Oreochromis niloticus: one gene and its partners. Each later gene encodes a partner of the first gene's protein in a complex. Links are inferred from orthologs where the notes say so. Each region holds a gene or a part of one and is shown in the gene's direction. Other genes may lie near its edges.

Region 1 (7,610 bases):
CCAGTGACTATCTGCTGCTTTCCATGCGCCTCTTTAAATGTGCTTAGCTTGCTTATTTCCAGCTCCATGTTTTTATTCTTTGTCTCTGTGTAGCTTTGCATGATTCACAGTTCAAAATAATCCTTCTTTATGCATTATGCATGGGGCGATCGTGGCTCAAGAGTTGGCAGTTAGTCTTGCAATCGGAAGGTTGGCGGTTCGAGCCCCGGCTCGGACAGTCTCGGTCGTTGTGTCCTTGGGCAAGACACCGAGACTACTGGTGGTGGTCAGAGGGCCCGGTGGCGCCAGTGTTCGGCAGCCTCGCCTCTGTCAGTGCGCCCCAGGGTGGCTGTGGCTACAATGTAGCTTGCCATCACCAGCCAAGCTACATTGTAGCCAATGTAGCCAAGCTGTTGGCTACAATGTAGTCAATGTAGCCAACAATGTACAATGTAGCCAACGTGTGTGTGGATGACTGAATGTAGTGTAAAGTGCTTTGGGGTCCTTAGGGACTAAGTAAAGCACTATACAAATACAGGCCATTTACCATTACTGGACTGTGATGTAGCTCCTCGCTTTCAGTGTCTCAGAAATCACAGACTGTATTTAAAAGATGGACATAGCTACTGTGACATCACCCATCTGGATTATGAATATGGAAGACCATGGTTAACAAAGGGACCATATTTAGATGCTGATAAATGCTAATTTATCATCTAATGTTAACAGGCTTGGTTTGGATGCACCACCCATAATCTTTATGGGTGCACTGCAAAATCAGTGTTACATATAAATAAAATACACAATACAAAATTTCACTCAGTGAAACATCGCAAAACTATTCGACATTATTATTTGTTATTTGTCGGATAATAGAAGTAAAAATAAAAAAAATCTATTCTTAATGCAGGCTTCACAATGGCTGTGTAATGGATTAATTTGTTTTTTCAAACTGAGCTTGAGTTTCAGATTTTTCCAACCAATCAGACCACTGCCTTCGGCAATAAGTGCGCTCATAGTTTAAAACGTGCACCAGTACTGAATATACAAATAGTAACATAATACAATTTTACCTCAGACACGCAGCTAGATGCTGCTCTGGGTCAGTCGGCTCTCTGAAATGATTTCTCTCCCTCCTAAGATGTGTTCCCAACTCTGCCAACATGACCTCAAACTGCCCCACTGACAATCCTGTCAGTGGGGCAGGATCCCACAATCCATCCTGAAATATGCACGAAAGCGGCCGCAATACAGCTTCAACTCCTGAAATTCTCCATGCTGCCTCTTTTTCGTGGGAATTGAATGAACACAGACTCTCAGTTTCTTCTTTTTCTTGTTTAGAAACCTCAGGAGCAGCTGATCATCCCTTAACAAATTAGAGAGCAAAACTTTTTTTGTGCCAGGCTTTAAGTGCCATAGTGTAAATATGCCTATAAAGTTAGACATTTTAGTCTTTGTGGACTGACTCATTTTTTTTTAAGTGGCCACTCCAGGAATTACAAGAACCATCTGAAATGAAGCATTTACAGCACATTGAAACATACCCTTACAATAACGATTACACTGACACCATCTGCTGGTACAAATTGGTTTATATCAGGGCGACTGGGGTGCCAGCCATACCTACAGCCAGTTTAGAATCACTAAATAACCTAACGTTTTTATCTTTGGCTTCTTTTGCCTTTCCAACTGTGGGAGGAACCAAGCTGCTGGAGTCAAATCCAGAACCTTTTTGCTGTGAGGTCGTAGTGCTAAATGTGTACCACTGAAATGCCCAACAAAAAAGTAACAAATAAAATAATATTTTGCCTCTTTTGATTATTTCTTTCCAGGTCGACAAGCTGGGGAAGGCTGTGAACTATGTTGATGCTGCTCTCTCGTTCATGGAATGTGGGAAGGCAATGGAGGAAGGGCCACTCGAAGCAAAGTCTCCTTATACCATGTATTCGGAAACAGTGGAGCTCATTAGGTGAATGACATTTCGATGCTAAAGCGGTCACAAGTCATTTGGATTTGGATATGTGCATAAACACGAATTGCTGTTTCTTAAGGTACGCAATGAAGCTGAAGAGCCACTCTGGCCCCGGGGCGAGACAGGAAGACAAACAGCTGGCGGTTCTGTGGTACGTATGTCATCATCTCATCTGTTTAAGCCACATCTATCATCATACTGAAGGACGTGCACTTTGAGGATGATTTTGTGCCATGTCCGACTCCTGTCCACAGTTTCCGATGCCTGGCCCTCCTTTACTGGCAGATGTTTCGCTTGAAGAAGGATCACGCGCTGAAATACTCCAAAGTGCTGCTGGATTACTTTAAGGTACATCTAAAAACAAGTCATTTACTTGAAAACAAGTCAACATTTATGTGTGGATGACACGTCAATAAGCCTTGTTTGCATGTTGTTACAGAGCTCTCCTAAAGTGCCTACTACCCCACCCGGCTGGAGTGACTCTGGGAAGTAGGTGGATGATAACTTTGAATGATAGGCTTTTTGTTTAGCCCATTTAATCCACTGAAACCACCGCTGGTTGCCCATCACTCTGTTGTGTGTGTTTTCACTCTTAGGGGTACAGGAGGACCCCCCTCTTCACTCTCACCTAATGCCAAACACCTCGCACGGGTTTCCCACGAGGGCAGCAGCTCTGCCTCCCTCATAAGCATTCCCCACCGTATCCACCAGATGGCAGCAACTCACCTGAACATTACCAACAGTGTGCTGTACAGCTATGAGTACTGGGAGGTGGCAGACAACCTTGCAAAGGAGAATAAAGGTAGTGGTGATTTAAAGGGGAAATAAAAAAGGGAGAGATTACCATGAAAATATGTTAAATGCATTTTAGTTTTCAGATGTTTTAAGACCAATATCTTTTTTTCTTCCTCATCAGAGTTCTTCAACTACTTGAATACTTTGTCTGGGCCATTGACTCTTCACAGTAGCATCGCTCACGCTGTCCAGTACACCAGGCAGGCCCTTCAGTGGATACGCATTAGTGCCAAACTCAACTAACTTAGAAAGGATTCACTATAACCTGCCCACTGGATCTCATTGACGGTAGAGGAGGTAAAACTCTGGAGAGCACTGAGATGGATGAACCCCCACAGAGCCTAATAACACCCACAGTATGTTTTGGTGCATACACTTCCTTACTGTGTGCACATTAAATGAGCCTCTTAACCATTTGCCAAATGTCCCTCGGACCTTGAAGGATTCACATGTATGTTCAAATTCACCCGGAAAGCCTTTTTCATACTTTGGACGTAATCGTTAATCTAGCGGACTTTTTCTCAAAGGGGCCAAAGCAGGAGAATATCCTTTAAAAAAAAAAAAAAAAGACCTACAACTAGAGAACTTGTTTGCATCTTTTGCTAATGAGGGTTGTAATGATGTACTTTTTTCACATTGTTTTTACTGTGCAATATTTGATGGATGGTTTGTTTTTAGAAAAAAGAGGAAAACTTGCAAGAGAATAAAATGTTTGTCCCTTTTTATTTTTGAGTGTGGAGTTACATAAAGAAACTTTGTAGTGAAGACGTCCCTCTGTCGGTTTACAAATTGGGTCTGGTTAAGGGTTACATGGAAATACATACAGGATGATCATCTTTTCCCTCAATGAGGAATATTTCTTCTAATAATCAGCATGTGAAACCCATCAGAAACCACTGGATGATGGCTGTATATAGTGCTTTTCTACTCGGAGCACTCAAAATGCATTTTACTAGAAGCCTCATTCTCCCAGTCACACACAAATTCTTACAAGTGCTTTTTTCTACACCTAAGCACACCCTGTCTAACATTTGCACACTCCAGTGGATGCACTAGGTTTCAATATCATCCCCAAGAAGACTGGAGTAGCTGGGAATTGAACTACTGACCTTCTGATTAATAGACAGCCTGCTCTACCCCAATGGTGAGATTACTTGAGAGAAAAGATGTGGGTGGCTAATCAGAGGCAATATGTGTTGCATGTGTTTCAGTGTACTTAATGAACCTTTAAATGAGTGCAGGTGTACGTTTATAGAAAGCTACTTTGCATATTTTTGACCTTACTTGTGAATAAGGACTGCTCAGATGGACACACTTTCTTATGAATGTTTCTCATTAGGAAACCTAGTTCATTATACTGATTATACCTTTGCTGACAGGTTCCTTTGATGATTTGGAGGAGGATCTTTTCTGGGCTTTTTTTCCATTACAGACACTCATGCACGCACACACAGTCATAGTTCAATGATTTGCACACAAGAGAGGAAGGTCCACACAATGTGACTGTAAACAGATTTATGTTCCCCAAAACATGAGTCATAAACACAAACACTCACACTGAGTGAAAGTCAGCCTCATTAGTCACCAAGTTACACTCTCCATCACTCCACTCCACCACTTCCTGCTGCACCAACACAGATGTCGCGCATGAAGCTTCAGCATCCGATGTCTGGTACCATAGCAACAGAGAACAACCAATAAGGGGTGGGGGTGCTTTTTGGGACAGGCTTGGGTCAGTAGCATCCTTGCTTTCAGTGAAATACGAGGTCTGCAAACACAATCAGTAGCAGACTACATGTTTATCCCCCTCAAAAATATGACCCACTTTATTTACACTTCCTTTAACACCAGCTCCTGTGTTGCAGTCTATATTTTAAACAAACCGATCAAAGATGGGAAAGCTTTAATTAAGTGTCCAAATCAAACAAGGTACTAAAGAGGAGACAGGGCCCAGACTATTTTTTTATGCTCCTCAGCGTCCAACCCACTTATTTTGCTAGCGATGGGGGAAACTCCACCCCGTCTTTGCTTTTGCTAGCGCTGTTTTTAATATTATGCAGGACTACGGTTAAAATAGAGAGCAGGTTCGCGCGGACGAGTGTTCACATCCTCGTTCGTGCTGCACGTGCCTCTGCGTCACGGCCGTCAGTTGCCTGTGAGATGAACGGCCATCTGAGGACAACCGTGCTGGGAGCCAGACAGTATACGCACACCGTGGAAAAAAACCGGTGGATGTGTGCGTGTCCCTAGACTGCTCCGCCAGCCGCTGTTGTGCCGCAGAAAAGCGGACACTTTGCACACAAACCCTCCTGAGTTCAAATGAGCAGCGTCACTCTGAAATAACCGAAGGTCGCAGCGACAAAATAGCAGCTTCACACCGGCGACCCGGTTTTCGGCTCCCGAGTGAGTAAATTAGCACCGCCAGTGGGTTAAAAACTGCACAGAGCTTTCATGAACTGTTATAGACAGTCCAGGTGACATGTACGTGACTGTCCGCGTAGTGGCAGCATCGCAGCTTCAAGCAAATACTGTATACAGTGCTGAAAACAAGAAGCCGGGGATGATGCGTCAAGCTACCTGAAAGGGTACCCGACGACCGGAAGTTGGGCGTATTTTGTTTTTGAAAATAGCGGTTTATGCTAGGCAAACTTTTCAGTTTAAATCAACAGATATATAGAAATGTGTGTTTGATTTTAAGGAAAGCGCACCAATTATCATTTGGTGTTTTTTCTACACTGCATATCATACATACAGAAATACATTTTTAAAAACTATAGAAAATCAAATGCTGTCCACATGTTGGAATATACTGAACGGTTATCTTAGCTTATGAGTGTGCGTTTTCCATAAGTTTAAAATATGACATAAAACTACCGTGTTAACAGTCTGGATATTGTAAAATAAGCTCATGTCTGCAGTGCGGTATATATGTGAGTAATCAGACACACCATAAGAAATTACACTGGAGGTATAGGTCAATTAAATTCCACATAATTTTGCTCCCTTACACAAAATGTTCCCATAGTGGTCTATTTTTGTTCTACCTCTTTTGGCTGCTCAATACAGGGGTCGCCACAGTGGATCATCTGCCTCCATCTGACCCTATCCCTCATCCTCCTCTGTCACACCAACACTCTCCATGTTCTCCAAGAACTTTGTCTGTTGTCTTCCTCATCTCCTCCTGACTGGCAGCTCCATGTCCAAGATCCTTTGTCCAGTATATCCACTGTGCCTCCCCTGCACATGTCCAAGCCATGCCAGCTTTGCTTTGCATTTGTCTCCAAATCGCTCAACCTGAGCTGTCCTTGTGATGTACTTCTTTCTAGTCATGTCCATCCTGGTCAGTCCCAGTGAAAATCTAGCGTATTCAGCTCGTGTCTTTTTATTGGTGTCACCATCTCCAAACTATACACCATAGCATCTCGTAAACCTTCCTTTTCACTCTTGCTGCCATCTTTATCTCAAAATCACTCTTGACACTTCTGAACTCCCTTCTTTACCTCCCCTGTACACTGCACATTGCTTTGCATGGTTGATCTCAGGTATTTAAACTTATCTACCTTCACTTCATCTGCTTTTTGCAGCTTCACTGTTTCCACAAAGCAGTTTCCTTCTCATTCACACACATGTATTCTGTTTTGTTTGTACTGACTTTCCATCTGCAGAGCATACCTCCACTTGACCAGGCTCACTACAGATCATGTCATCTGGAAACATATTGTTCCACGGAGACTCCTGCCTGACCTGTCGGTCGTCATCATTGCAAACAAGAAAGGGCTCAGAGCTGATCCCTAATGTAATCCGACCCCATCTTGACTCCATCTATCACACCTCATGGCAGCTCTGCACACCCTTGTTCCTGAAAAACATAACAGCCTAGTCGACAACTTTTATTTTGAAATTTTTGCTACCGGAACTACTTTTACCTTGCTCATTGGTGCTTACTGAGAGAGAGAAAAGAAAGCAAAGGGATTCAGGCGGTTGAAATGGAGAGCGAAGGGACTGGGAGGGTGAGTGAAAATGTTCAAGAGACATGGCGTGGCAGCATGACACAATAAAGGGGACCTCGGTTCACCAAAAGGAGTCCTCGGAATAACAGAATCGGGGAGGCGGAGGACTCGATCTGACTGTCTAGAGGATTTTCATCTCGCTTTGCTTTGGTCTTACCTCGTTTAACCCAATCAGTGGGCACACAACGTTTGAGCTGAGCAGTATCTGCAGAGAGAAGTCTGTGGCTAACAACCAAGTCTGACAGGATACAAGGTAAAGCACTTCTCTTTGCGAGCAACCACTCAGGAAGGTTGGTTTGTTTACAGCCTTGGTTATCGCCACACTAAAGTTGCATAGTCTTATAGCGCTGTTTAACGCTGGGTTGCTAATTCTGCCAGTATTGTTAGCAAGAGTCTGCAAAACACTCAAACTGTTCCTGATCCTTAATTTATAATACCATTTAGTGGCGTAGCGACATGCATTATTAACCAGCTAAAACCGCTTAGAGTTGCTAGGCTAATGTTAGCCGTCCACCTAGCTCGTACTTGAAAGAAGTGACAAAGTGCCACATGGGGCTATGCTGTGACCTATAGCGACTCGTTGTGACCTACCTGTCAACAGTAGAGAACCTGCCCGGGCATGTCCTTTGGCACGGACGGCTTTCCCATAAAGTGTGCGGCCAGTACCATGGCATCTAAGCTCATTTAACATTGATTCATTTAACTGTTGTTAATATCAGTCATCAACACTGGTTGCATTGTTCCTGCCCTTTGGTTTGCACATGAGGAAGTTTTGTAAACAAGAGACATCACTCAGGAAGGACTGACTTTACAGTCACCTGGTGTTTAAAATAATTGCCACACCATCTGAGCAG
Region 2 (7,830 bases), on another chromosome or scaffold:
CATTTATGTGTGGTGTGATCATGTTCAAGGTTCCTGTTCAGGTGTTCCATAAATGTAAATATATATACATTAAAAAGAAACTGTGACCTCTGTGTGTTAACGCATCGTGTAGATACTGTGTACTTTTAGCTTTCCAAAATAAACTCTAGGCCAGTCAAAGTTAAGATGAACATAAACTGATACGACTGTCATGATGTGAAAGTAATTTTAGTTTTTCACTTTCTTTTATTTGGTGTTTTCTTTATTTGTAGATTGGTAGATGTAGATTTCATTGTTGTGTATTTGCTCATTTTAATTTTTTTTATTTGCATTCTTTTATTTTGACAAAAGCGGCCCAGCAAATCAAATTATATCACCGGAACTAGAAAAAAAATTAATTTAATTACATTTTTGGGGGCCATGGCAGGGAGGTCAGGATGGGCTTGGTTTTTCAGACACTTAGATGCTGTGAGAGTGGTGGGCGGAGACGGCCAAAAAGACCATCCCAGTCCTGGCGAGGCTGGTTTGATATTTTATCCTTTCTCCTCCAGTGTCTGGGAAATCGTCCTGGTTTACCATCCTTCTTTCTTGCTGCAATCAAAAGTTCTTCTCTGTTTTCTTTCAATATTTAAAAGTTCTGAGGATCATTAAAAAGTCAATGTCATAGAAGTTCATGGTATGTGAAGGAGAAATATTATGATGATCGCAGTCACAACCATGGCAAAACAAAACTTGTATGATTGCACAACACCACCTAAATAAACTGTTCGGCCACAACGTTAAAACCACTGAAATATTTGATACCATCTACCATCTGTTCTGCATGAGTTTCTGCAATGATGTGGAGCACTGCATGTCAGGGTAACATCTACACTGCTGCCACTGCTGCAGGTCAAGTGTATCTAACGTCAAAGTCACTCCCTGATAGCAATCATCTCCCCATGTAAGCCAATCTACCACATGGCAAAAAAAAAGTTTACGAATTGTTCAAAGACCTTAACAAACTGCCCAAGGCGCTGATCCAGATTTTAACCCTACCACACGTGAATCCTGCTGAGCATCAGGACACGCCAGAACAACCTCGGTCAAGGAAGCGCCACCACAGGACCCAAAGCCAACATCCACTTCCTGGTGCCAGACATCACAGACCACCCTCAGCGGTACCTCGTGCACGCCCTGATGGATCAGAGATGTTTTGGCAGCACAGGAGGCAGCCACAGAGTGTTAGACACCTGCAGGTACTGCCGACACTTATCAACATTTCCAGGTGTTACAAGCATAAACGTATTTTTCTGCCCGCATGAACCGGCATGTTAAATATGGCACAGCCACTGCATCACTAAGAAATTGCATCTGTAATGTAAAACTTTGGACTGAATTTCTTATATAGAGTGACACGTCCAATATTGTTTGTTTTGCAAACAAAGTGTAAAATAAAACCAATAATAAACCCCTTGATCCACACAAATACAGCCAGTCACGGTTTTGATGTAATTCGGGAGTGAACAGTAACAAATGCAATATAAAAAGTATCATAAACGCTTCAGCAAAAGGAGGAATAACACTGTTTCAAACATTACCCCGATTCTGAAAGCAGCTGTGATGAGCATTGGCTTTTAAAGGAGAGCCAGCTTTTCTTTCACGTGCAGGGCTGGATTACAGAGAAGGTTTACTTTTGATGCATTAGTTCATAGCAGAGAGGCACTTGAGCCAACCAGAGGGGGGCACTGGGACACTCAAGTGACATTCTGGTGTGACAAGAGGAGGGCTGCGGTTTGATATCAATTCAACCCCTGATTTTGCTTACAGTGAATCAGATGTGCTGACTGACTCTGAATCCTTTCATTAAAACAAAAAAACCTTGTTTAACCCTGACCTGGTTTAGTGACCTGATTTTGTAAAATTGTACTTGACTGGTATTTATGGAAACATCTATTTAAAAGAATAAATACATCTTTCTTTGAAATATAGTGGATTGATTTATAATTTGACATCCAAGTATGTATACCTTCATAGATTAGGATTTTTACGTAAAAGCACATTTGGTCTATTTTTGAACTCTATATCTGTCAATGGTTCCCCAAATTTTTATGTCTGTAGTTTTGTAAGAACCACAGACATAGACTGATCACGCTCCACATGCTTGTGAGATACAGTCTGGTCTTTAGGTTTTTGGACACAATTTTGCCTCTATACACCACTGCAATGGAACTATATACTTCCAGATATAATTTTAATTTAAAATCTTCAATTTAAAATTTGTTTGCACAAAATATAATACTAGAATGAAAATAAGGTAATAACTGACTGAAATCTAGAAGCTCGTGGAAATTAACAAATGCTGTATTAAATCCTCTCGCCTTCTCTCAGGCCTTTACTCAAGCCATTTTCAGCTGCTGTATGTTTGCGCCTTAAGTTTTGTCTTCACTAACTAAAAAGCCTTGTCTGGTGCATTAACATCAGTTGACGGACTGCCTTTGAACTTCTGCCTTTGGAATTCTGAGAATTCCAGTGAAAATGTCAACCTGGAAAAAACAGAAGGTCTTTTATCTGTTTAATATTATCATGGACTAACAAGGGAACAGACCTCACATAAAACTTTTTATGACTCAACTGTCCGATTACTATTATTAGTCTCTGAAACTGGAGGACTATGTATAAAACTGGCTAAAAATCCTAAATAGCTACTGCAATACTTTTGTTAAACTTAAATTAAAGCTAAAAATCTGCACTTTAACTGCTTATTGATTCCTTGATTTAAAATCTGTGGTGCTGTATATGGACAAAAAAAAGTACAAAAAAGTCTTTAAGGGAATTTGAATTTGAATTTTTTAAATATTTTTACATTTTTTGCACTGGTATATTTGCAAAGGAGTCCACAAAAAACCCAAAAAGGTAAAGGTGCTTGTGTGCAGCACAATGAGAAGAAAGACAAAGAGGATCACAATGTTCCTTCATTTAAACCAAATCTGATCCACCTGAGGATTTCAGTGTTGCTCTCCGTCTTCAAGGTGAGACAATTATTCTTGTACTTTGTCATCATTATGGGAATATTTTTCCCTCCTCTGCTGCACGTCGCTGCCCTTCTGTTTGACATTTCTATTAGAAGTTACCGTGCAGGCTGAGCAGCGCTGTGCACTGAAGACTCAGAGCTACTTCAATCTAAATATTACATCAGATAGACTGCGAGAACACACCTCAGATAATCATATATACAGCGTGTCACTCAGATTTGACAGCTACATCTCATTAACAAGGCTTTTTGGAGCAATAGGTTTGCAAGTGGTAGAGTAGAAATGGAAATGCTCAGATAATGATATGGGTTAGCTTGTTTAAAACCATTCTTATTTTTCTACTTGTTTAGCACATTTGTTCAGGGTTGGAAATGTTCCTCTGGTACATTATTTATTTATTTATTCAGTTTCTTAATTGTCTTGATTGATCCATAAGAGACAAAAAGTCTCTTTTTTCCCCATCAACATGGGAGAGTCAGTGAATTTCATTTTGATTAAAGCAAATAAATAACTTTAAACTTTTTGAACCTACTCTTTCAGATCTGATGCAACAGAAGTGAAGCACACCAATGCTGTGTCGATCCAGAGGCCACATACATATCTGGTCAATGCATTTGTGACATTCACATTTTTTGATTCTCCAGTGCCTTTACTACAATCCATCAATGGTCTTGTGTTTTTGGAGTATCTCTCCTGCCGACCACAATATGTGCATCTGCAAAAAAGTGTCTCTAGCACAGTCCCGTGTGTAGCATGTACCATGTCTACGGCAGACTTCAGACATCAGCACAACAGTGACACTTTGTTGCTGAAACTTTCTGATGACACAGCAGTTGTCGGCTCAATCAAAAGTGGTGAGCAGGAGGAGAATAGAGGAACAGTTTAGGACTTTGAATGCAATCCTCTTCATCATAATGTCACAAAAACCATTGTAGACTTCACGAGGGGTGGGAGAAGGAGCCAATCAACACCAATAACTGTAAGGAGCACTGAGATGGAAGTGGTCTTCAACCACAGATACCCTGGTGTGCAGCCCAACAGTAAGTTGGACTGGAATACCCATATACAAGCGGGAGAAAGATTACTTTATTTCCTAAGGAGCCGGAGGTCAGTTAACATCTGTTATTTATGTTTTGAAGCTTATCACTTCATATAATCCTATGTTTTGAGCACTGCACTTTTTTTCTTGTGACCTGAGAAAGTTGCCTGAAAGCTGAAGACACACTGGGCAAACCATTTTTGTTCTGTTGTCATTTTCAGTTTATTATTGCCTGAGTTAGAAATATCATGCAGACTCCCCATGAGGAAGGAATGGACTTCTCTACTGAACAATCTGAGGATGCTGCTGTTGTAGTTATTGCTCTTTGATATGATGGCGGTGTAAGAAGCTTGCTTTATTTTCTACACACTGCTCCTTTGCCTCCCGCATAGACGGTAAGGTAAAACTGGAGCACATTGTTGGGCTACTATAATAAGAGATAGCTTTAAAGTGGCCCCTGGAGACCCATCATCATTATTGTTTTCCACATACATAGGTGCATTATAGTGCCTATAATGAACTGATGCTCTCTCCACTCAGCTCCACTGCATTCACATTGTGGATTTTGCTGTTCTCAGACAGTTTGCACTGATTTTTAACTGTCCCGTGTTGGTTTTGGGGTACAAAAAAAAACGTATTAATAATGATAATGTGTGTGGAATATAGTAAAAATAAATGAATGAAGCTCCTGTTTTTTTTTTTACTTCTATCATTCATTTGATCCAGGGAGTGAGTCACAGCCCCGTCTGGCCTGCAGAGGGCAGCCTAAAGCCTTTCGCTTCACAGGAAGGACGGGCGGACACGTGACATGCAACAGGAAGTAAATAAACTGCTTTCCCGCGCAGTTAAATTGGAACAGCAAGTCGTCTGCTTTCAAGGAGAATAAACCAAAATGGATGAGCTTTATTTGGATAATATTGACGAATACGTCAATGACCATAATAAAATAGTAAGTGCCTTCTTAATTCGCGGTATTTCATTTTGTGCGATGACGTTTTCTGGCTGAACTAGAACATGAATTAGCTCTGGCTTCGACATGATTGGCTGCTGAACTCCGCTCAAAAAAACTGCCGTTTTAACTTTGTCTGGTTTTCACGACAATTTATGTGTATCCGGGGGCATTTTTATCAATTTTAGGGATGTTCAGGGGTCTCCGTGTTAATTCGGCTCTGCCATGCTGTAGTAAATGGCACTTGAATTGAAGAAAAGCTTATTTTTAGTTGACCAATTTCAGTTACTGCTGGAAACCGCCAAGTGCGTGACAAACACTGCTGTAGTAAAGACATTTCAAACACTGACATAAAGTCGATATTTGTTTATATCTGATAAGTATTAGATATTTCCCAGCTCACGTAGCTTAATGGAAAGCAACAATAATCGGTACCTTAAAGAAATGACAATATTTGGATAATATTTATTATCCGTCATATAGTCTCTGTGTAAATACAAGTGTCCTGTGTGCATTCTCTACAACAGGTAACCTATAAATGGCTGAGTCTCACTCTTGGAGTTCATGTCAACACAGCAAAACAGTAAGTGGTTACTTTGACATGCCATGAACTAATAAAATAATATATGATACTTTTTTTTTCCATCTTCAAAATGTCTTGTTTGTCCAAGCAACAATCCCAAATTTAAATTAATTAGGGTTTACTGTATTTAGCGCCAAAGAAGCACTACATTTGACAGTAATAGTCCAGTGGAATGTCGCTTGAGTTTTTCTGCAATGAGTTACACCGTTTTTGTTGTGTTACTGAGATGAAGACATGCACATGTTTGCATGTTTTGGCATATGTGTGCATGCAAAAAAAGGTGCTGTGTGTTTTCTTTTAAAAAAAGATCATTAACACTTTGTGTCATTGGCTGATAAATACATAAATGCCATAAACACTGATGTTCCTAAGTGGCCCAGGTAAAGGCTCAAGTTGTGGGAAATACATGTAAGTTGTGTCTTGTGTTCAGAATGCTCTACCACTACCTGGATCACAAGAGGAAGGAGAGTTCAGCTCAGCTGCATGCCACCTACCTTGTGTCAGGGAAATTTGTGGACAACGGTCAAACGGTGAGACCTGTTGTAGCAATTTTTGTGATTTTTTTTTTTTTTCTACATGCACAAAGCTGCAGATTTAATGATTTTTACACTGTGTTTGCTTTTCAGAGTCACAAGGTGTCTGTTGTGAGAGAGGAGCAGCTGGAAGGTGTGTAAATATTAATTCACATGACATCATTCGGTTGTGTTGCTCTGTAACAGCAAGGTTGGCTCGTTGTTTGGTTCTCATTTCGAAAGTAATGTCCTCATTTCATAATCATCACCATCACTAAATGGTACACTTTTATGTCAGTGAGTCTTGATTTTCTTTGTATTTTGTTTTATTTAATGACATAGTTATTGTAAATGAAGCAGCAGTGTGTCAAGTTTGCTGTTTTCTTCTGCAGACTTCAAAGCCAAGATGAGCTTGGTAGTCAGCGTGCACGTCTACAGCGTCCAGAAAGCGTTGCTTAAAGACAGCGGCCCACTTTACGCTGTGGACTACGACGCTGTGAAAGACAATCTTAAAAACTGCAGCAGGTATGCTAATCATGGTGTTTTTTGATTTGCAGTGACCAGTAATCAGCATTTCTACACCATCTGTGTAAAAATTAGTTTAGCCACTATTAGAATGAAAGCATAATTAATGTATAATGTTATTAATATTATTTAATAGTTATTTCCTTTTGGTTTTCAGATACAGCGCGATCCGCTGTGCCAGCGCAGTGCCCATGTCTTCTGTGGAGCTGCAGCAGGCGAGGGAAGTTCAGCAAGCTCCTACACCTGAGCCTGAAAACAAAAAGGCTGGCATGAATGGAGACACCAGCCCAGTTTTAAAATCATCCGCCAAGCCTCCAAAAGGCATCATGGGAATGTTTGCTAACAAATCTGCTCCTAAGAGTCAGGATAACAGCAAAGAGATGAAGCCTGAAAAGAAAGAGGATGCACATGATGTACGGCTTTGTCCTTGTGCTGCAGTCAGTTGCTCTCCAGGGTACTTGAGTTTTTGCTCTATTTGTTTCTAAGTGTGTATTTTGTATTTTAGATCGAAGCACCCAAAAGCAAACCGGTCGCAAAAGTCAATCCAGTGGCAAACTTCTTTGGGACTCAAACATCAAGTGAGTAATAATTTAAAAAAATTGTGTGTGTGTGTGTGTGTGTGTGTGTGTGTGGTGTACTTTATTAAAAGGGGGATTAAAATTCATATGTTCCATTTAGACTGCTGTTATTTTGTTTTAGGTTTCTATTTTAACCTTGAAACTGTTCTGCTCATAGTTTGTTTTTATTATTATTATTAGTATTAGTATTAGTAGTAGTAGTAGTAGTAGTAGTAGTAGTAGTAGTAGTAGTAGTAGTATTTTGCTCTTTATTTGACACACGATCTGCCTTTCAGAGCAGTTGTACAAATCACATTATTATATAAATAAATGTTGTTCCTGTCATGTTCTTATTTCACATAAACCTAGTAAAAGCATCATAATTGAATGCGTTACTCGTCATGGTGGAAAATAATCAGCAAGTGAGCCAACAAGTTTTTTAAAAAGTACCAAAGTGCTGCAGGTTGTAATCAGCAAAACAGTTTTGTCTTGCATGGAGTGTAAGGTTTGAATGTAGAGGCTCTAAAGCAGAAGCCACTTGTGAACACGATCCAGAAACCCTGCCATCTTCTCCGCCAAAGCTCATTTAAAATGGTCTGAGGCAAAGTGGAAAACCTTTCTGGTCAGAAATCAAAATGTTACGTTTTACTTGGAAAACATGGATGCCACGTC
Region 3 (6,887 bases), on another chromosome or scaffold:
AGCTGTAGGATGAGGACAGATGTGAGAATCGTCATCTTAGTGGAATTGGAAGATAAAGGTAGATGAGGATAAAACTGACATGCTTTTTTCAAACAACAGAAACCAATTCTAAAACTGAACAAGATGAATACTTTTCCAGGAGCAAATTTGATCTTTAGTTTTTGTTTTGTTTTGTTCTGTTTTGTCTAATACTGGGGATATGCAAATTGTTAAAAGTGATAGACCTCTTGTATCCATCCTCCAGGCTTCCAGCATCAGCTTCCAGCCTGGAGGATGGATACAAGAGGATGGATGGATACAAGAGGATGATTTGTATGATTGAGGTTGTTGGCTGGGCTCTATTTGGTTCAATGTTTGTAAGGGAGGAGGAATGTTGGCGAGTGGTTGAAAGTGTCCTTGTGAAGTTCCTTGGATCAAAGAATGAATAAATTACACCCATTTATACCTCTCGGATAATGTTTTTTATTTTTATTTCAAACTTACCAAATTATTCACAGGTTATTTTTTAAGGGGCTTATGTCAAGACAGATGAAAATCAGTCACTTGGATTTTTTGAATTTTGAAAGTGATCAAAGCCAAATAAAATCAGCAGTGTCGTAAAAAGGTCATTTGACTGTTTACAGCCATTCTTTTCACATCATAAGACCATCATAAGATAAGTTGCATTGCTCCAGTGTCCCACCACTGCCTGAAGCTTAATTTCTCTGATTTGTTAAACCTTTGTGGTGCCATTTTTATGATAATTTGCCAACTTATGAAAACAGAAAGGTTATGTTAATATCTTACTTGTATTGGTGTGCAGTGCAGTCGTACCGGTTGAAGTAACTTCATGAACTATTATGTGCACTGGCATCTGTAAGTCTCCAATGACACACCAATACCAGCCGCTGCTCTCTGATCTCAGATCGCTCATAGTCACAGTGAAAAGATTAGGGACACTCGCATTTATTTTCACAGCTGTTCCATCTATTGATCCATCTTGATTGGTTACACAGCTGCTGCCCAGTCTACACCACATTACTCCCTTTTCTACTGGATAGTTATAGCAGCACACAGCAGTCATACTTTCTCCTTCAAAACCTACAATTTCCTGTTGGGTTACATTTAGACTTTTCATACCTTGAAGGGAAAAAAAGATACAGCCATTAGCCATTTTTTCTGCCAGGTAGTTCACTGAAATGCCTTGTTTAAAACATCAACGAGGAATTTAAAACCCTGAAATAAGAGAGTTTACTGTACCTGTGCTGACAGACAGATGAAAATATTGTTTATCATCTCTTCCATTGCCAGTCTCTATAGCACACCAGAAATACTTGTTGACTGTGAGATCATTATTAATAGTCACAGTAAAGATTCTTTGGTTTGTATCATTCGAGATGGAAAACTTTCATGATGTTTTCATTTGGCTTGTTTTCATTTCTTGAGAGCAAACTAACCACCAGTATCCATTACACAAGTATTTCACATGATTTCTGTAGAGTGGCTCATATTGACATGGGATAGAGACAGAACCCAGTTTCTTCACTGACACTTTTTTCACTGTAATAATTCCACAGTGAATTCCTAACAAATTAAAAGAAAATAGTTAATACGAGTTAATACCTTAAAATGTCCCCTGTATCACTTTTAAAATTCAAAATCATGGCCTAACAGTAAAATATTAAACACAATATTAAACGCTGATGATGAACCACTAGTGACTCATCTCTTTAAGTTAAATATTTACCAGCTCGAGGCTTATCTTACTTACCCAGCAATCCAGTGAGCAATAGGTGATAAATATATAGAAGAACCATGTTGGTACAGCTGCTGTGAGTGAGTGACTCCTTTCACTATCACAGGGAAAATTTCAACCTGGATTGCTTCCTCATTTTATTTATATTTTTGACAGTGTTTCTCTTTTCAGGGCTTTTACAATTGACTGCAATTCACCCAAAACTATCAAAAGTATATTTCATAATTTGCCTAATTTATAAGTCACGTGTTAGTTAAACATTGTTCAAAACCTCTCACTGGTTACTGTAAGGAATAAACTAGTTTGTCTGACTTTTTGAAATCTATTAACATTTTATTATTTATAACAATACAACGAGACAAATGAATAGATAATGATTTTAATGAGGATTCCCATTTGAGAGCCATTGGATCAAACCTGTTTTGATAGTTACAATAGCCCCTAACTACATCTGTTGGAATTTATCTAAATATATTTATTTCTGCAATTTATTAGTAGATCATTTGTGTTGTTTCACTATATATGTTTATTTTTATGTCAGTCATTAGAAGAATAGGTGGACTTATATTCACCCATGGTCTCTTACTGAGTTCTGTAGTTCTACCTCTTACTGGAGCACTCTGTAGACTGCCATGCAATAACTCTGTCCTCAGCAATCAGATCTTAACAATCTTGGGTACATCTGCCCTCAGAAAGAGACTGAAGTAACTCTAACAAGTTCTTCAGCATTCTTGAAGCCAAACACCTTCTTTACTTACCACTGTTGCATGAACTATACTCTTCATTTTTGTTGTTTCTGCAAAAAGGTCTTCTTTCATTTTACTTAAGGATAGCCCACAGATTCATAAAATGTTTACTGTGGCTTTTAGAATATAGAGAAGTATAGAGAAGGCCAGAAGAAGTTGTGCTGTTCCTTTGTGCATCTAGAGAAAGGTCCGAAGAGGGGAACTGTAGCATCGCATGAGAAAGTGCAGAGGGTTAGTAAGGAGGAAGCTAATGCAGCTATGAAAAGGATGAAGACTGGAAAGGCAGTTGGTCCGTTGGATAGACCTGTGGAAGTGTGGAGATGTTTAGGAGAGAGGGCAGTGGACTTATTCACCATATTGTTTTCCCACACCTTGGACAGTGAGAGGATGCCTGGGCGCTGTTGAAAAAGGAATGTAAAAAAGGAGTGTACTGGTACCAATTTTCAAGAATAAGGGGCAGAGCTAGGTTAAGAAGATGTAGTGTAGATGGCAAAGTATAGAGAAGGTCAGGAGTTCCACTGGTGGTCACTAAAGGGAGAAGGCGAAATACTTCAAAATTACACTATTAATACATTGCATTTTCCATATTTTGCAAGTGTTTTATCACTATCCTTAATGACTAAATGCCCTTCCACCCTTACTTTATATTATGGATGCCCTTGTATACACCCCCACAGTGTTTCTTGTAACTTACACATTGTGTATATAGTGTTTGTATATATTGATGTTTTGAAACTTCACTTTCTTGCACTTTTGTGGTCTTGCTAGCTAATTTCGCTGTGCAGGCAGTGTTGCCAACTCCTCAGTAAGGAAAATCGCTATTGGTTGTCCTAAAAGTCGCTAGAAGGCGCTAAATGACGTCATCACCTAATTTGCATAATTGGTCATGCTAATATAATTGTAACCTATGTTGTTGGAGAGAGAAATAACATCGTGGAAGAGACATAAAGTGAGTAAAAAACGTCCTAAATGCATTTAGAGTTTATTTAGAACTACAAATTAAATTTCTTTTAGCAATTATTGTTTTTTTTAATGTCACAATTCCAACCCTGCTCCTTCACCCGGGCTTGGACTGGCAAAAGTGATCCGAAATAGGCACTCTGGTGGAGTTACTTTGTGTGTGTGTGTTTATAAGTAGTTTTAAACCTTGTGATCTACAAAACAGCATATGAGTAAAAGAGTAAAAGAAGAACTGACTGTGTTACAGCACCCGCTGCTTGTTGAGAGTAAAAGCGATACGTGCTTTCACGTCTTTTTTAGCGACTTTTTTAAGAAAAAAAGTCGCTAGGGGGTCTGAAAACTCGCTAAATATAGCGACAAAGTCGCTAAGTTGGCAACACTGTGTGCAGGCAACTGTTTTTCTTCAGTGGTGACGACATTAGCAAGGGACTTCTTCGTCGACTGTTGATGACGTATTTATGTAACCCTCGAAATGCAAAGCGGTCGGTGTGTATTTTGGCGGTCCGTTCAAGTCCACCGAACTTTCAGTTCTGATGACAGCTGTGAATTAACAGCCCCGCCAAGAAGCGGACATATATCTTAACACCACCGATAGATTTTCATCGTTAACAATGGAGTACGGGAAGGAGAGGGTGGTGGCGTTAGTAGACATGGACTGCTTTTACGTGCAGGTGGAGCAGAGGCTGAATCCAGCTCTGAGGAATACTCCCTGTGTGGTGGCCCAGTACAAGACGTGGAAAGGAGGCAGGTGAGTTTCTGACACAGAGATGCTGTTTTTGTGATCGACGCAATTGAAACACCTAGCCGAGCTGCCGTTACGAAAACATTTTTTTCTGGTGTTCCTTACGCTGTTATGCATACACTCAGTGGACAGTTTTTTAGGTACATCCTGTTCGTACTCCTACCTGCAGAACTGCCTTAATTCTTTGTTGCATAGAGTCAACAGGTTGATGTAAAAGCCAAACGTCGAGTGCAGTGAACTCACTGGCATGTTCAAGAAGCCAGTTTGAGATGATTTGAGGTTTGTGACCTGGTGTGTTATCCTGCTGGATACAGCCATCAGAACATGGTTATACTGTAGCCATAAAGGGATGGACATGGTAGGCCGTGGTGTTTAAACAATGCTCAGTTTCTACTAAGGGGCACAAACTGTGCTAAGAAAATATCCCCCACAACATTACACCACCACCACCTCCACCAGCCTGAATCTGAACTCATCAGACCAGGGAACATTGTCCTATCAGTCCTCTCTTGTCTAATTTTGGTGAACCCATCTGAACTGTAGCTTTAGTTTCCTGTTTTTTAGCTGACAGAAGTGGCACCTGCTGTGGTCTTCCGTGGCTGTAACCCATCTGCTTCAAGGTTCATCGTTTTTTGTGTTTAAAAATGCTTTTTTTGCATAACTTAATTGAGTGGTTATTTGAATTTGAGTTCCTGTTGCCTTCCTATCAGCGTGAAGCAGTCTAGTCTTTGACCTCTTAGTTGCACAAGGCACTTTCACCCAGAAAACTGCTGGTTTATTTTCTCTTTTTTCAGACCATTCTCTGTAAACCATAGAGTTGGTGTTAGGGGAGAAAATGCCAGTAGATCAGCAGATTTTGAAATAATGAAATACTGGATCAAACAAAATGGTCACTAGATTACAGAGAATTTAAACATTCCCCTCTCTTTTTGTAACCCACTGGTGAATTCGTTCCCAGGACTGCGTGTGTTCAGTTGCATTGACCATTTGAATTGATGTCTCTGTGTTGGCAACTCACCCGCCTTCATGTCCCACAAATAACCGCTTTGACACCTTCTAAAATGTTTTCACACTTTGATTGTTTTGTGATCCTTGACTAAATGTTATTGTTTCTTAGTATTATAGCTGTGAGCTACGAGGCCAGGGCCCATGGTGTCACCAGGAACATGTGGGTGGATGATGCAAAAAAACTGTGCCCAGACCTCCAGGTGGCACGAGTGCGTGAGTCTCATGGCAAGGCAGACTTGACAAAGTAAGTGCTGCTGCTCATGTACATCCCCAGAGACTTCCTCTTTTTAATTGGATCAACATTAAATCTTTGGATCAACACTCGATCAACATTAAGTCTTTAATTAAATTTACGATTATTTTTTAAATTGCCTTAAATTCTTGTGGCCAAAGCTGTACTGCAAATAACTTCTTTCTGTCCCCTTTATAGTTACAGAGAGGCGAGTGTGGAGGTGATTGAGGTCATGTCTCGCTTTGCTGTGATTGAGAGAGCTAGCATTGATGAGGCCTACATGGATTTGACTGCCGCTGTCCAGCAGCGACTGAAAAATATGACTGACAAACAAATCGAACCTTCGCTCTTGAGGACTACCTACATCCAGGGGTACCCGCAAAGTTCACCTGCAGCTGAAGAATCTGCAGAGGATACTGTGCTGGATAAAGGTAGGCTGTAAGCTAACTTCAGTTACCCAATGAGTTGTTTCTGCAGTTGATACAGAAAGCTGTCGAAAAATAACAGCTAAAAAACAATGGCAGGCTGTATCCTCCTAATAACATCATGTTTGTGCTCAGAGGAACAGCGATCCAGAGGTCTCCAGCAGTGGCTGGAATCTTTAACGTTCCCGTCAGTGGGTGAGCAGAGCTCTGCAGAACTGCAGCTAACTGTTGGAGCACTGATTGTTGAGGAAATGAGAGCAGCTGTGGAGAAACACACAGGTTTCCGCTGTTCTGCAGGAATATCACACAATAAGGTAGGATAAACTCCTATTTAATAGTCTAAGAGCGGTAACTGTGTTTGCAGAGATAATCATTTACCGCTCACTTTTCCAAGGTATTGGCTAAACTAGCCTGTGGTCTGAACAAGCCCAACAGACAAACTGTTCTTCCTCTGGACTCTGTGACAGAACTTTTCAGCAGTCTCCCCGTTGGCAAGATGTAAGTTTAGTTATGTCATTGCTTACATTGACAGAGTGGCAGCTAAAACTTCAAATTAAACCCTGTGCTCTTGTATTATTTATTTCCCTGCAGCCGTAACCTGGGGGGTAAGCTGGGAACTTCAATCACAGAAACTCTGGGAATAGAGAACATGGGCGATCTCACTCGCTTCTCTAAGGCTCAGTTGGAGCAGCACTTTGGAGAAAAAACAGGGTGAGAGAGCCAGAAATGCCTTTAAACACTGTCATTTTGATAATGGTGACATAACTTGCTTAAGAAAATAATCACATGGTGTTATTAAAGTAATAACAAGTAGTTTTGCACTTTTAAACTTCCTTAAACATTTCTGAACTTCTGAACTTGAACTTCTGCTTCAGAAAAGAAACTTTGTAATTCTGGAAACCCTTCAGTACTACAGGGACCTTAAACTTTATCCTGCTTCCTTGTTTAATGTAGTCAGTGGCTGTATGACTTGTGCCGGGGGATTGATTTTGAAGCTGTGAAACCAAGACAGCTTCCAAAGTCCATTGGCTGCAGTAAA
Region 4 (7,050 bases), on another chromosome or scaffold:
TAGATTTGCTGAATGTTGCTCATGTGCTGGCTTATTTGCAGCCACTGACAACAGCAACACACAACTCTGGACACCTAGTGTGAGCCTGAAAAACTTTATGCAACATTGTAGTAATGCTTTAACGCTGGTATTGCATTTCACAACTTGTATATTTAGAATGGGCACAAGCATGGGGTGGATTTTTATGACCCTTAAATGCTTTTTACTGATGTTCCTAACAAAATCAGCACTACCGTATTCCCTTACCAGAAACAGTCGGATATGAAAAAAGTGCTCCGGTTTTAAATTTTCACTATAAAGGTGTGTGCAGCTTTGTGCCCATCCAGCCGTGATTATAGCTTTGACAAATCCACTTTATCTTGCACTGCTGCATCAGGCAGACCATAAACCTTCCCTTTACAATGAAGTTTATAACAGTTTCCCTATGACTGGAACGTTCTCTTCCCCTTTGCGTAAGCACAGCTGTATCTACACAGCATCAGCTTTTTTTTCAAATGTGTAAATTTCTTCACTATTAGTAAAAAGTCTCATCAGTCCACTGATAGGATCTAACAATGACTAAGACTTAACTTTTCCTTCTTTTGACATTTTACAACGCATCTGTGTGCATCAGATTAATTTAATAATATTTAATACAAGATATACTAGATTAACTTTTAAAACTGATAAATGGTGGGAGAATGCAATGGCATGTATAATCAATGGGAGCTTCTGATTGTTGCCTCCAGTGAGAGTATTTAGACTGTAACGTTTCTTGCACATTATACCACTGCGTGAGGACAGTCTCGTGTTGGTCTTTATTTAGAAGTTGTGTATCAGTGTGTAGCTGTTACAGGGGAGCTAAGAAGCAAAGATTTGTTTGTGCATTCCTGAGTCCTTAGACCCCGCTTCAGGGAAAAAAAAAATATAGAGGCAGGGAATAGTTTGGGTCATGTTGCTCTAATTACTTGTGAGTATGTGTAATAAAACTGTGTACATTCTTGGTTTGGCTACTATAGCGCAATTAAAAAAACAATCGTGCTCCATTCAGGTCTGCACAAGCATAGGAACTGATTATGTTCACACCAACAAGCAGCAGGACCTCACTGTGACCTTTTCAAGTTCTACTTTTAAAAATCATGTAATCCTATTGAACACAGCTGTGCAAATTACAGTAAAACCAATTGTTTGGCTTCTGTACTTGGTATGATCAGAGAGAGAGCGAGATCAGTGAATATTTAACCAGGGTGGTAGGTTTTAGTTTACCTGACTAACAAGAGGCCGGAATAGGAAGAATGTAGGTCCAACTTCTACAGTGTGTGGTCAAAGCTTACATCTGAAACCCTGGGCAAACACTAATTTATAGTAGATAACAAGGGCCACGAACACTTGATAGCGCTATGATCACTGAAGTAATAGTCCCTTGGTATGCTCAAGTATCGATCTGTAATCTTAACACAGCCTCAATATAAGTTAATGTTCACCTTCTATCTTAGAGGAAAATGGAGAGCATGTGCATGAATAAGAAAAGATGGGATCAAAACAGGGAGACATACTAGAGAAACAACTATCCTCTTATGAGTCCTCACTTACTGAAATGCTGAACAGGTGCTATGTTCCCTGTGATGTGGCCAGTTTAAATACTTACTGTGATGACTGCCTTACTGAGGCACAAAGAGCCCCTGCAGCCGTACTCCCGTTCATCCTCCGACTTGTAGTAACTCAAAGTATTGTTTTTCAACACAACCCATCGGTCCTGCCACCCGTGTATGTAATTTGTCCACTGTAAACACACAAGACGTGAAGTACACAGTTACAAAGCTGCAACACGCGCTCAGCAGGTGATCTAGTGCAGCAACACTTTAAAGTGCACACCGTTTGACTTAAAGTTACCTTGCTTAGGACGCCTCCAAGCTCCAGGGGCTGACCGGATTCCGGGTCCACATCCTCATCCGAACTGGACGATGAACTCTTCTCGGACATTTAACTCCAAGTTTAGAAGAAAAGTTGAATCTGATCGTATCAGTGCAACCACGTAGCTCGACGCTAGTTGCTGGATTAGTTGAGTTAAAACGCGGTTGCAGAAACGTTCTTCAACTTAAGGTCTGCAAAATAACGTTAATTGGCCATTAACGGAGAGTACAAAACAGCGTCTAGGTGGCGTAATATATCTTAGGTCACTGACAGACTTCAACCGAGTTAGCTTGTCTGGCCACCACCTATTCTGGAGGTGACAGCTGGATCTGATTTTCTCCGTTTTGCCTGCTTTGTTTTGAAACTGACGTCGAATACCACTGAGACTAGCTAACTAAGTTAGCGGTGGCTATCAAATGACGCAACTAGCTAGTATTAAATAAACTAATAACTTGTGGTTGCGCTCGTTAGCTATCTTAGCTGCAGTCCATAAGCTCCTGCTCGACATGGAGGCCTTCGGGGAAACCACTACACATCAACTTCCATCTGAAAATCGACGAGCAGCGGACTGACTCTCTGCTGTGGTTCCGCAGTTCAGTTAGCAGCAGCGGAGGACTCTTCTTTAGGGTCGAGGGGGGAGGAGCCGCAGCCACGCTTTACTGTGTACGACCGCCGGTCACCCCCAGACCGGAAGTTATACGTGTTTGAATAAAATTAAAAGCTGGATATTTTTTTAATCAAAAGTTTGCATAGTCAAAGATTGTATCACAAATCAAATAAACTGCCAAACCCATTTTTTGCAGTATACTTATTTAAACGTGTCACACATACAGTGAAGGATGTAGGTCAGAGTTATACATTTGTATTTATATTAGTTTTGACTGATTTTTAAATATTTATTTCCATTTCAGTTCGCATTGATTTAGTTTCTAAAGTTTTTGTGCTCGCTTTGAAAATGTTTAGTTTCCTTTTTATTGGTATTATAAGTATTACAACCGGGTTTATAAGATTTACTGTTAACGGCGTGCTTGTTTCAGGTTATCTCACTAACAGAGAACTTGTTAGTGATATAATTAGTATATAATCTAAGACAATATATTAGAATAAATAAGAAGAACTATTAATAAAGTTGCCAAAATGGGAAATGATAGTTCTGTAGTTAAAAGTAGTTACGTGTAAAGCATTTTTAACACCAAAATCAATCAGTTGATCCAGGCTTTAATATACTGCCCAATAGGATAATCTGTAGTGGTGCGATAGATCAGATCAAAAAGATGAAAAAATAGAACAGTAGATATTTTCCATAGAACAAAAAAACTGTAATAATGGATAAATGTCTGGTTAAATCTAAAACATAGATTGCATTACTCTTTACTTGTAATTATAAATATATATATATATATATATATACATATATATATATATATGTATATATATATATATATATATATATATATATATATATATATATATATATATATATATATATATATATATATATATATATATATATATATTATTGCTGCATAGTCCCCAATGACTACAACAGTATGTATAAAACAATGTTGTATATAGCCTAACTTTTTGTGTAGGCAAACATGATTATTCTACCTCACAGACGGGCCACATGAGGAGATTTTTTGTTACCCACAGCAAGGATCAGTCCAATCAAAAAAGCGGTTTACCGTTAACAGAAGAAACCAGTAAAACTGGAATTTAAAAAAATCAATTTGGCATGACTTCTGATCACAGGTAGGAATAGTTAACACTAATATGTTTTGTGTGTGTGCTATAGCACTGATGTTTTATGTAAATGTGACGCCACATAAATGTTACATAAATATTTACCCTGATATGGGGTGCAGTTTGTGTTGTGAGGATCTGTTTCGTTGTTTGCAACGAAACTACATTTCATCAGTTGATGTCTTAATTTACTTGACCAGCAGATCCATTTTTAAATCCTCGTGTGAAATATGCCAAAGGGTTTCATAACATATTTGTTGGCACTCGGGAGTATCCAGTGTACTTTAAACGGACCGATAACAATCTAAGGTTAACTCATATCAGCAGAAACACTGCACGATCCCAAGTCATAAACTGTAAAAGCAAACTTTGAAGGGAAGGTACAATCCTGAAATGACGCTCTTGGTCTTTTAGTCCCGCCTATTTGGCTGATGACGTACGGACGCGGAAGTGCCGCCAAAAAAACCGCCGCCGTAGCTGTTTTCAATACATGTAAAGACATGTATGTCAGAAAGCTCAGTGACTTAACTTACAGTCACCGTGGCTCTTATTTGTCATTGAGAAACTCTGATCTGATCCAGCCCGGAAAGCCGCACATATGTGGGGATGTACAGCTCTGAGTTCTTCAGAAAAGAGCCCATTTCGTTATAACCTGAAGTGTACCTCCACTAAGTAAGTCATTAGGATGGAGAATGGGGTGGCATCCACCAAAGAAGAGGGCTTCCTCTCCAGAATGGCTCTCAATGACAACAAAGCTGGTATGGAGGGTCTTGACAGAGACAAGATCAATAAGATCATCATGGAAACCTCCAAGGTAAGTGCTCACAAAAAGACACGGGCATGACACACCTGAGGTCCGAGAGGATGCAAATGATTAGTTTTTAGAACATAAGCATGGATAATTTGTTGACGTGCCGTTCTGCATGTCTTTATGTTTTGCTAGGATGGATGGAAAATAAGGGCAGCAATATACTGAAACACGCACAAAAAATACATAGAAGTACTATATATAACGCAAAGACAGAGGATGTACATTTCTAACAAACATGACACCTTTATTCTTCAACAAAGCCTGAACTGTCTTAGCTAAGCTTTCTTGTCATTTCTTTAAGTAGTCTTCAGGAGTAGTTCTCCAGGCTTCCTGGGAGACATTTAAAGCTCTTCTATGGATGTTGGCTGCTTTTAGATGATACCACACTGCTTCAATAATGTTGAGTTCCATGCTATCCATGACTGATAGTGTTGCATTGTGTGCACACTGGCAGTGTGTTTGGACACAAGCCTTAATTCAGATGGTGTGAAAAATGAAGTTGTTGCTAATTACACACTTTCCAGATGTTATTTTATGGTGGATTCAAATCCGATGATACTTTTCTGTGTTCATAATTTAATCAGTTTTAACAAAAAACCATGACAAAGCCTCCACCGTGTTCCACAGATGGCTGCACACATCCACTATTTAGCCTTTCTCTTTCGCATACATACTGATGACAATTTGAACAAAAAAATACAAATTTGGATTTAACACTCCACAAGACCTGTTACCGCTGATTTTCAGTCCACTTCTTGTGTAATTTGACACACATGAGCCTTTTCTTCTAGTTTCCCTTTCTTAAGAATGCCTTCTCGACAGCCACCCTTCAACTGACACTATTTCTGATGATGCATTTTTTTGTAGATTTCTTATATCACCATATAAGTGTCATAATTCATTCCTTACAGTAATATGAATAGCTTTTGTATAATGGTGCTCTAAAATGTTATTTTGAAATATGTACATGAGTTAAGTTTGTTTCAGTTTGTAGTCTAAAAGAGGACATTGTGGGAGCAAAATCTAAAAATTGACTCTTTTTTTTTTGGTTTACTTGGATGTATCTAGCTTTAGCCAATAAAAGGCACAAATGACACTGTGGACAATATAAACCTCCACGCACTTTTATAGATTGTATCCTGTTCCCCTTTGTGTCCACTATCCTCTGTGTAATGACATCCAGTCCTAAAAATAAATGCGCTATAGTAGCTTTTTATTAAAGCTGTGAAACGGAGTTGTTATAACTCCCCATTGTCCTTGTCCTTCCTGGGCAGGGATCGAAGTTTTACGAGAATGAGCTGAAGAGAGATCAGCAGGTGAACCAGCGCATTACGAAAATGATGCTACAGAAGGCACGGATCACAGAGCAGCAGTTAAAAAAAGCACAAGCTCAGGTAAGATGTAAGGGATTCACATGGCCAAAGCTGACTTCTTTTTCCAGAGGTGACCTGAAAATCACACAGACACAACTCAGGTGAGCTTCAAGCAACTGGCTTCTTTTCATTTTATTCTCTCTGCGTAGGTGGAAAAGGTGGCCACAGCACTGGAGAAGAGTCGTGATCTAAGCCGTGTGATTGTACATGTGGACATGGATGCTTTCTACGCTGCTGTTGAAATGAGAGACTGTCCTGAACTGAAGGACAAGCCCATGGCTGTAGGATCCATGAGCATGCTGGTGGGTTAAAAACATTGCTATTGTGGCTAATGGACACGCTCAGGGTGTAGGCGCCACAGATGCTGACTATGAATTATGTCTGAACTCTGAAACAAGATATTAAAAGTTTACCTCAAATATAAACCACACGGCACTGAAATATAGTATACGCATGCTCTCACTACTTTACAAACTACACGAAGATTAAGTATTGAAATCATGGCCATTTAAGATCCAGAACAGCCACTCTCTCTGTTTCATTCATATCGCCTCTTTTCCTTTCACAGTCGACCTCTAACTATCACGCCAGGAAATATGGGGTTCGAGCTGCCATGCCTGGCTTCATTGCAAAGAAACTCTGCCCCAGTTTAGTCATTGTTCCACTTAACTTTGATAAGTACAGAGCTGTGAGCAATGAGGTAAGCGCAATACCTAAAAACACACATGCAAACAAATTGTTTCAGTGGCTTGTTGCTCAACAGGTGCCCATCTGTCTGTCCTTCTGTTAGATCCGGGAGATCTTTGCAGACTATGACCCGAACTTTCAGCCACTGAGCCTGGATGAAGCTTATCTAGATTTCACAGACCACCTGGAGCAGAGGCAGCACTGGCCAGAGTCCGCACGTACACATCACTTCCGTGTCAGAGACATGACCACAGGTAGGGATTTGTTTTTCTTTAATATATAGACACAAACACATATATATATGAAGTTTTATATATCAGGAATTCATTTGATGTTGTGTGATTATTTTTTTTTTTTTCTTGTAAAGATGAGAAAAAAGCTGAGCTTTCCCAGGAAGCCATGACAGAGATAAGAGAGCTCTCCCCAGTACTGTTTGAGGACAGCCCAGGCTCCTCTCCCAGCCCAGTGGGCCCTGAAGGTGTGCGTGCTCCTGCAGGTGATTTCGAGGTGTTTGGGACATCTGTTGAAGAGGCTGTGCGAGAG

What was found.
Region 2: the proteins of rev1 (region 1) and pold3 are in contact, whole or in part, in an NMR structure (PDB 2N1G), measured with the Homo sapiens proteins. The link is inferred for Oreochromis niloticus from reciprocal best matches to the Homo sapiens genes REV1 and POLD3. Residues at the interface, in NP_057400.1 of Homo sapiens: Asn1158, Leu1159, Ala1160, Gly1161, Leu1171, Leu1172, Glu1174, Trp1175, Ile1179, Met1183, Glu1184, Glu1185, Asp1186, Gln1189, Val1190; in NP_006582.1 of Homo sapiens: Gly232, Asn233, Met234, Met235, Ser236, Asn237, Phe238, Phe239, Gly240, Ala242, Ala243, Met244.
Region 3: the proteins of rev1 (region 1) and polh are in contact, whole or in part, in an NMR structure (PDB 2LSK), measured with the Homo sapiens proteins. The link is inferred for Oreochromis niloticus from reciprocal best matches to the Homo sapiens genes REV1 and POLH. Residues at the interface, in NP_057400.1 of Homo sapiens: Asn1158, Leu1159, Ala1160, Gly1161, Leu1171, Leu1172, Trp1175, Ile1179, Asp1181, Pro1182, Met1183, Glu1185, Asp1186, Gln1189, Val1190; in NP_006493.1 of Homo sapiens: Thr528, Glu529, Pro530, Phe531, Phe532, Lys533, Lys535, Ser536, Leu539.
Region 4: the proteins of rev1 (region 1) and polk are in contact, whole or in part, in an NMR structure (PDB 2LSI), measured with the Homo sapiens proteins. The link is inferred for Oreochromis niloticus from reciprocal best matches to the Homo sapiens genes REV1 and POLK. Residues at the interface, in NP_057400.1 of Homo sapiens: Asn1158, Leu1159, Ala1160, Gly1161, Ala1162, Asp1167, Leu1171, Leu1172, Glu1174, Trp1175, Thr1178, Ile1179, Met1183, Glu1185, Asp1186, Gln1189, Val1190; in NP_001374042.1 of Homo sapiens: Lys564, Lys565, Ser566, Phe567, Phe568, Asp569, Lys571, Arg572, Arg575.

The regions. Positions count from the first base shown.
Region 1 is NC_031987.2:21,426,271-21,433,880, reverse strand, and holds the start of rev1 (DNA repair protein REV1), read left to right. Parts: upstream 1-4,605; 5' UTR 4,606-5,149; intron 5,150-6,411; 5' UTR 6,412-7,009; intron 7,010-7,610. Other genes in the region: aff3 (AF4/FMR2 family member 4), read left to right, coding at 1,812-1,948, 2,031-2,102, 2,206-2,299, 2,391-2,440, 2,548-2,753, 2,868-2,989. UniProt on the Homo sapiens protein: Deoxycytidyl transferase involved in DNA repair. Transfers a dCMP residue from dCTP to the 3'-end of a DNA primer in a template-dependent reaction.
Region 2 is NC_031982.2:27,839,079-27,846,908, forward strand, and holds the start of pold3 (DNA polymerase delta subunit 3), read left to right. Parts: upstream 1-4,823; 5' UTR 4,824-4,924; coding exon 4,925-4,981; intron 4,982-5,508; coding exon 5,509-5,564; intron 5,565-5,994; coding exon 5,995-6,094; intron 6,095-6,190; coding exon 6,191-6,230; intron 6,231-6,468; coding exon 6,469-6,601; intron 6,602-6,758; coding exon 6,759-7,014; intron 7,015-7,106; coding exon 7,107-7,179; intron 7,180-7,830. UniProt on the Homo sapiens protein: Accessory component of both the DNA polymerase delta complex and the DNA polymerase zeta complex.
Region 3 is NC_031978.2:15,456,890-15,463,776, reverse strand, and holds the start of polh (DNA polymerase eta), read left to right. Parts: upstream 1-3,876; 5' UTR 3,877-4,052; coding exon 4,053-4,189; intron 4,190-5,300; coding exon 5,301-5,435; intron 5,436-5,621; coding exon 5,622-5,854; intron 5,855-5,983; coding exon 5,984-6,162; intron 6,163-6,242; coding exon 6,243-6,346; intron 6,347-6,439; coding exon 6,440-6,559; intron 6,560-6,802; coding exon 6,803-6,887. UniProt on the Homo sapiens protein: DNA polymerase specifically involved in the DNA repair by translesion synthesis (TLS). Due to low processivity on both damaged and normal DNA, cooperates with the heterotetrameric (REV3L, REV7, POLD2 and POLD3) POLZ complex for complete bypass of DNA lesions.
Region 4 is NC_031977.2:16,939,314-16,946,363, reverse strand, and holds the start of polk (DNA polymerase kappa), read left to right. Parts: upstream 1-4,044; 5' UTR 4,045-4,321; coding exon 4,322-4,450; intron 4,451-5,721; coding exon 5,722-5,841; intron 5,842-5,969; coding exon 5,970-6,122; intron 6,123-6,388; coding exon 6,389-6,520; intron 6,521-6,610; coding exon 6,611-6,761; intron 6,762-6,874; coding exon 6,875-7,050. Other genes in the region: cert1 (collagen type IV alpha-3-binding protein), read right to left, coding at 1,628-1,762, 1,873-1,962. UniProt on the Homo sapiens protein: DNA polymerase specifically involved in DNA repair. Plays an important role in translesion synthesis, where the normal high-fidelity DNA polymerases cannot proceed and DNA synthesis stalls.